2 linked regions of the Coturnix japonica genome follow. The protein of the gene in region 1 interacts with the protein of each later gene in a biochemical or structural test. Links are inferred from orthologs where the notes say so. Each region holds a gene or a part of one and is shown in the gene's direction. Other genes may lie near its edges.

What was found.
Region 2: of the proteins of WNK1 (region 1) and KLHL3, one has a biochemical effect on the other in vitro, tested with the Homo sapiens proteins (2 studies listed by BioGRID). The link is inferred for Coturnix japonica from reciprocal best matches to the Homo sapiens genes WNK1 and KLHL3.

What each region holds. Positions count from the first base shown.
Region 1 is NC_029516.1:52,104,735-52,108,550, reverse strand, and holds part of WNK1 (serine/threonine-protein kinase WNK1), read left to right. Parts: coding exon 1-69; intron 70-742; coding exon 743-812; intron 813-2,233; coding exon 2,234-2,313; intron 2,314-3,199; coding exon 3,200-3,816. UniProt on the Homo sapiens protein: Serine/threonine-protein kinase component of the WNK1-SPAK/OSR1 kinase cascade, which acts as a key regulator of blood pressure and regulatory volume increase by promoting ion influx.
Region 2 is NC_029528.1:3,626,530-3,630,345, reverse strand, and holds part of KLHL3 (kelch-like protein 3), read left to right. Parts: intron 1-2,334; coding exon 2,335-2,441; exon of another isoform or gene 2,442-2,473; intron 2,474-3,816. UniProt on the Homo sapiens protein: Substrate-specific adapter of a BCR (BTB-CUL3-RBX1) E3 ubiquitin ligase complex that acts as a regulator of ion transport in the distal nephron.

The sequences.
Region 1 (3,816 bases):
GATCTGGATGCTAAGCTGAGGAGAACCCTTAGTCCAGAGACCGTTCCAGTGACATCAGCTCCTGCCTGTGTAAGTTTGGAGTATCAATGCAGTCTCGAGTAACCAGTGTTTTCTCAAGTTCTTGCACTTAAATCACTGCCTTTAATATCACTACACACGTCCATAGGCTTCTAAAGTAAAAACAAAGAGTCATCTTTCAGTGTGCGGGACAGAGCCAAGCAAAATGGAGAAAATATGTAGGTTGCAATAGACACTGTATTTCCCGAGGCTGGCTCTGGGATTAGTTCTTAGCCCATCTTCTTTGGCAAAGCCATTAATATCACAGAACTAAAATGGGAAGTGATTGGGAACGAGGGAAAAGAGGGTGCTAAACAAGCAGTATGTGGGAAGTCAGTCGTAATTTAGAAGAGATTTTTAAAGCATAGGTTTCAGTTCTTAAGACTATGTTAAAATATCGATATAAAAGGATGACAGTGATTAACATTGATCGCTAAATGACTACTCATGCATTACTTCTGCAGAGTAAAGGGGGAGGTTCTGCGGGGAGCCTTGGGTTGCAAGGCATGCAAAATCTGTTGCTGATGTTTCTTGCTTTGGAGATGAAAAGATCCTGTGTTAGTCCTGTGATGGGTCATCCTTTAGACCTGATAGTAACTTGCACTATTGTAGATTACTTGGAGTTGAATCAAACTATTGATTCTGATTAATTTTATTTTATTTTATTTCCCTTCTGAACTTCTAGTCTGTGCCCTCAGTAGCATCTACAGCAGTTACTGGTCTGGCGTCCACAGCAGCGCAGTCTCTGAAAGATGGTAAGACAGCCTTTGTTATTTCAGATGATTTCTTAGCACAGAGATTTAATGCAAAACTGAAACAAAACTTTACAAAAGTATTGAAAATAATAGCCTCTTCTAATAAGTGATACAGTGACAACTCCTTAAGAATTGTTTTAGTTTTTAGCAACTACACTGACATTTTCCACTGTAGACCAAGAGAACAGAGTGGAACATGCGTATTATGGTAATTCTGTATTTAAAGTTGACTAAAATGATAATTAAACCTTGCAAAGAACCTTCAGTATGCTCCTAAGGTACAGCTTGACAATTTGAAAGGACTACTTCCTATCTCTCGTGATATTCTTGACAGCAATTGCAAAACCTTTCCATTTTGTGTTGCCATGCTGTGTTCTGTGTTAAGGGTATCTCCCCTTAACTGGAGTATTTAATTTCTATTTGGAGAAAAAAAAAAAGGTGGGGGCTAAACTTAAGTAAGAAAACATAGTAAGAAAAAAGGACTGTTTTCTGAACAGTGGAGGGGTGACTATGACTGAAACGTGAATGATAAATGGCTTTCAAAACTTGTTTAATTATTAGGGGTGCAACCAAACAGCCCACACTTCAAGAATAGCCTGAGTCTTAACACTCGGTATTCCCCCACTCATTGCAATTTAAAAAACTCTTCTTTTTTTTTTTAAAAAAAAGGAACTGTTAATTTGCTTCTAAAGTTATTTCAAATTTATTTAGTGAACAACATTCAGTTTTCAAGTTCAATGTCAAAACTTTAAAAGTTAATAAAATGAACAGGAAAATAAAACAGTCCCTTTCTGGTATGCTTGATAGTTAACTATACAGTTAAGCTCACTTTCCTACTAGAAAATGAGTTCCTTTGCTTGTTGATTTAAGGTTGTAAAAGTATGCAAAGTGGAGAGTTACTGAATAAACCCAACGAGCTGTCCAACAGAATTGGTTTAAAAATAGAATGTTATTTCACAGCTTTGTAACCTTATACTGCTAGGGCATACGACAGTAAAATTAGGAGCTACCATCTAAGGATCCAGCTCTGAAGGCCTCACACTGCTTTGAGTAAATGTTTATACCATTTCTTAAATGTACTGAATTTGTACTGAAATTTATGTAGTCACCATAAGTATGGAATTGAAATATGTCATTTCTTGTATAAATTTCATTCTTTTTTATTTATTTATTTATTTTTGGCTATTTCACATCCCTGCTTGAAATCAAAGTGTACTTCTTCTTTATATATCACAGTGTAGAACTGCACTTCTGGCAGGTGTACTGCACAATGGAACTTCATAGAAAAATACTTAATTTTAAAGTTTTAGTTTGATATTCAACATGGCAAAGCTGAGAAAGGAGACCAGATTCCATGAATCCAAAAGCCTGCTTATTTTCTTCTCAATCCAATTCTCCTTTATTTATCTATTTTTTTCTAGCTTCAGCATCATGTGGTGGAGAAAGCAGTGGTACAGCTTCCACAACAGGAGCTGGTGTTCTTAAGATGGGACGGTTTCAGGTAGGCTCCAAGGAGATCTTATAGCAGCCTTCCAGTACCTGAAGGGGCCTACAGGAAAGCTGGGAATGGACTTTGTATAAGGGCAGGTAGCATCAGGATGAGGGGAAATGGTTTTGAACTGGAGGAGGGTGGATTTAGACTAGATATTAGGATTAAATTCTTTGCTATGAGGGTGGTGAGACACCAGCACAGGTTGCCCAGTGAGGTTGTGAATGCCCTCTCCGTGTAAGCATTCAAGCCAGGCTGGATGGGGCTTTGAGCAACCTGGTCTAGAGAGAGGTGTCCCTGCCTGTAGCAGGTTGGTTGGAACTGCATGATCTTAAAGGTCCCTTCCAACCCAAACCATTCTATGATTCTATGTTAAATTGATTTGGTTGCTCATAGAGAATCCTCACCAAGCAGTTACTGCCTGGTGCCCATTCAGTGCACCTCTTGGAAGGTGTTCTTGATGAGAGAAAATATCAAAAATATCCATACTGAGTATGTGGCTGCAGTATTTTGTGCAGACACTGTTATTTGTTCTCATTCACAGGAGGGACTGCGCTAGAGTATACACGGTCTAGTTTATGAATATAGCATTTCATCTTGTCAGACCTTAACTGTTTAACTGTTTGCCTTTGTCTTTAATATCAGTTGCTCTTTGGCTAACTTTGCTGGGGCGTTTATTATGTACTGTTCTTGGAGGAAGCCCCCTCTCAGTCTGCTGTGTAGTTGGAGTTAATTTTGAAGTTTATCTTGAACTGCTATTTTATGTGGAGGGAAGTTTGTAGCATTTCAGGGAAACTAGTTATTTTCCCCCCTCATATGCTTCTGCTATGTAATGTAAGTAAGTGCATCATGTTAAGGAAGAACTTAGAAGGTCTACATGATTGCATTTCTATTGTAGGTGTCTGTGGCAGTGGATGATGTGCTGAAAGAGAGTGACAAACCTGAGACTAAGCCTCTGCAATTTGAAACCACCTCCTCTGATTCCTCCCCTCTTTCTGGCAGCAGTCCAGAGAGTACCCTGGTAAAGCAGGCTGGCGGGCGGAAAAGCGAGGCTGTAGCACATGGTATTCCTCAGCCAGTTCCTGTGCTGCAGTTGCCAGTAGATGATGGTCAGCCTACTAAGGTTGGACGCTTTCAGGTAACAACAACAACAGATCAAGTGGGGCGCTTTTCAGTGTCAAAGACTCAGGATGAGGTCACCTGTGCAGAGAGAGAGCCAATGACTCTCCCTCTCTCTGTGGACTTGGAACAAGTTGCTTCTTCAGCTGCAGCCCCTAGGAAAGAGTTGGAGTCGAGGCAGTCCCCCCATATGAACGGTCCGTCCTCTGAACCAGAGGCTGCTTTCTTGAGTGGAATGGCTAAGGATCTGGATGATGGCTCAGCAAGCCCAGACTCCCTCCAGGCCACAACATCAAAAATCAGCCTCCCTGTTCAAAGCCTTAGCAACTCGTTCAATTCTTCCTACATGAGCAGTGACAACGAGTCAGATATTGAAGATGAAGACTTGAAGTTGGA
Region 2 (3,816 bases), on another chromosome or scaffold:
AAGCAGCTACAATATAGCTGCATTGTGGTGGGGTGCTGTGCCCGTTCTCACATTGCCTGTCTTCCAGTCAGAAGGAAGCCAACAGCAGCTCAAGAAGTTATTTGAGTGATATCCTTCACTGTAGTGATGATAATTCATGTAGCATTTTCCATTACTTACAGCAAATTTAGCTGTAAACTATGTTCTTAGCTGGGCTAATGGTCTGAAAACCAGTAACAGAATATTACAGACAGAAAGACACCTACACATAATTACAGACCAGGGACTATGAATGTACTGTTCTTATTCCGTTGAACTGGGGCTGTTGCTCAATCTGGGCTGAGCACTTCAAAGTAGGAAAAAAGCCCCACTAACAGCTCAGGTCTCTATGTGGAAATTAAAAAAAATGCCATTGTCAGTTAAGAAGGAACACCCTGGTGTCTTTAAACAGCTGTGTGGGCATAGGGAGAATGGGGGCTGAGGAAATGTAAGCAAGCACAGTCCTTACGAAGCAGTTGCTGGTGTGATGGCAGTAGTTAAACCTGTGCTGGTTTTCAGCTGTTCCCCCAAGAACCAGGCAGAGGCTCAGGGAGTATTTCTAACAGCAAATTCATCTGAGTTGTTTGCCATTCCAGCAGTCACAAGCTTTGAAAGAAGTCCTGTGAAAAAATACGTGTCGTACACATTTGTGTGCTCCCTCTCTCCAGATGGCACGATGAAAGCAGATAACAGCCTTTACTCTTTCTGCATGCTCAGAGTACTCCAAAGAGGCTGCTGTAGCACCTCGCTTCTGTGGATTTAGTAGTTTCCCAATGTCTGTTTTCTCCAGTGCAGAGAAGGGTGAGAAATGTCTTCTTCCAGATGTCTCATAGGGATTCTCAGTTGCGTAAGGAGCAGAAAATGGAGATGTCCATCCCTTGTAACAGTTAAATGAAGCAAAGTATGGTTTTTTAATATTGGCATCCTTCTAGTCGTCTCTTTGTACTGAAAGCAAAAGATCTGAAAATAGAGGTTTGTGTGGCTATATTCAGAAATCTATTGTGCTCCTATTATTCCTTTGTTAATTGAAGCACAGTGGGAATAGCTGGAGACTGACAGTGTTTCTCAGTGCCTGCAGTCAGCTAGGTCTTGTGTAATGGTGAAGGGATAAAACATACAGGATAGAATAGAAAGCTGCCCTTAAGAACCTATTTGATGTTTTCTTTTTCTAGGTACCCTCCTCCTCAGCCCCTGCTGCTGTTCTGGAATATACAGTTCTCATGTCTATTACACTTGTGATCCATTAAGCTGTCGACAGTCAGTGTTAATAGCTACCTTGAATAATTGTGCCTTAGGTCAAATGCACGGAGAAATCCCGAGTGGAGATGGAGCAGTCCCAAGCTGAGGGTCACCAAGAATCTTGCTGAGCCTTTAGCCTATTTGCAATATATTGCTCACTTGGAATTTTTAGCTTTCAAATGTAAATTGAATTAACTTTAACGAGCGGTACTTTAAATAACTATAGTCCATAGAGGAACTGAATGGGGCATCTTTTACATAAGTTGGAGGAAACGGAAGCTTCCCTTAAGAGCCGATTCAAAGAGCTCCCATTACTGCCCTCATCCCTTCCAAAGGAGGATGAAGGTAGAACAAAGATTGTCAGTTCCTACTTTCATTCTGTTTTCCATCAGTAACCCTCCATTTCACAAATCATTTTGTTTACTTCTTCCATGGAGTAGGAGGAGGAGGAGACATGCCAAGACCATGGGGAGTTTTGTATGTATTTATTTGATGTGTAGTTTCCCGGGAGAAAGCACAGCATTTTGATAAGCATTTCTGATGAGACGGCTCCATCTAGATTTGCAGGCACTAAACTATTTTTTTTTTTTTTTTCAGGCTTAACATTTGAAAAGAACGCCTTTATTTTTGCATTTGTATGCTCAAACATCTTAAACCAACTTATTGGGAGGCTGAGCACTCCTCACTGTCTGCATCTCCAATCCTTGTGCAAACATTAACTAATGAATCCTCAAAGGACATACGTGGGGCTGCTAGGAAAGGTCACTGATTAATGAAGTGGCTTTTCTAAAGCCATACAGTGATTCAGTGGGGAGCATAGAAGTTATTTGGTTGTGTTTGGAACCCGTTGTTTTATTCCTGTGACTCTTAATCCCACCTAAGTCATGGGGTAGGGAAGTTCTCAGGCCCAGGGGTAAGCTGCAGGCCTGACTGCTGTCCCCTAAAGGCTCAAGTGCCTTGTTCCTAGCAGTAGGACTTCTGCTTGCTTCTTCAGGCATAAAATGTACTTGTTGTGTTTGGGTTTTTTTTTCCTTACCAGTTCTGAAACAATCTTTGTCTATTCTGGTGTTTTTCCAGCAAACGACTGCTCTGTGATGTAGTGATTGTGGCAGAAACTGTGGAGATGGAAGCGCACCGCGTGGTCCTGGCAGCCTGCAGCCCTTACTTTTGTGCCATGTTTACAGGTACTCTGCAGCAGACCCTGCACTGGGGCACGGTAAATGGGCTTGGGGGCGGCATCAGGCTATGGGGGAGCATGCAGAATATCACTCACACAGGAAGGTTACTGTGGGGCTTGGTTTGCTGTGGGTGGTTTTTTATTCCTCAGCAAATGCTTGGGTCGTGAAACCACACATTGTTAACATCAGGCACACGTGCTGTGCCCTGTTCACATCAAAGAAGCTGCTGGCACAAAAGTTGTAGTTTTGAGGCCCAGCCCTGCAGATGCTTATTCGTGGTCACGGATGTTTAATCTCCCATGGCACTTGTTGCTGCTGCCCAAAATAACACTGTGGTTCTCTGGATCCCAGTGTGCATTAGTAGCTCTGTGTTTTTACTTTGTTTTCTTGCAGGGTGCATTGTTACAGCCCCGTGTATTTTGGTAATGGCAGATGCAACCTCAATGTGAAGGGAAGGAGGGGGCAGAATTCTGGCCCCAATCACCTGATCCCTATAGGCCATGGCTGTCAGTGGGTGGGACAGCAAGGAGAGCTGTGTTGGTCCCAAGGCAGGCATTAGCCAACTTATTTAGGTCCTTCTGGTAACGTCAGTATGGTCAGGAGCACCTTAGCTTCCTTTCCTTTTCCTTGTCCTCCTTTCTAGGATAGGAACTGACATAACCAAGGTAAATGTATGCTGCAGAGAATGGTTGCCATGGTCTCAGAGCTTCAGCTCTTTATGGTGTTTGCATGTGCTTTGTACTCCTTGGTCTATGGCCTTGAAGAGTAGAGAGCCTTTTCCAGAGAGATCCAACAGTGTCAGCTTGGCATTGTGGGTGCTTCTTGCTTTTACAGACCTTGAGGTTAGGCTTTGATTTATTTGCCATACTAGAAGCAAAATGCAGAATTTCTTGGGAAAAAGCCTCTTGTTTGTGCATCTTTCCTTCCCTTCCATAAGAAGCTTAAGTGTGAACCAATGTCTGAATGTTAGACAAGATGTGAAGTTTGCCACGTGGCTTTATCTGTGTGGGTGCAAAGGTAAATGGCACTGCTGCTCTGTGGGGAGCCTTGGCACTGGGTGCTTTGGGGAGGGGAGTGTTTGTGATGCTGGTTCCTGACAGGAAGGTTTAGAAGTAAAAAAAAAATCACTGGAGAACCCTCTGATCCTTAGAGGTCACCTGACAGGAATGCAGTGGTGCAGAGCAGGGCTGGGGCTGCTCATGTTTCCACGTAGGAATTCTCCAGAAGTGTAATCCCTCATGCAGCAAGTTAACCAGTAATCAGGCCCCGCAGTCACGCGGCTGCTCAGTGTGCCCTGGGATGGGTGGCAGCCGTGGGGCCCCAACACGGCCCTGCAGGCAGTGGATCGGGCAAGGACCAGTTGTCCATTCAGTTCTGATCC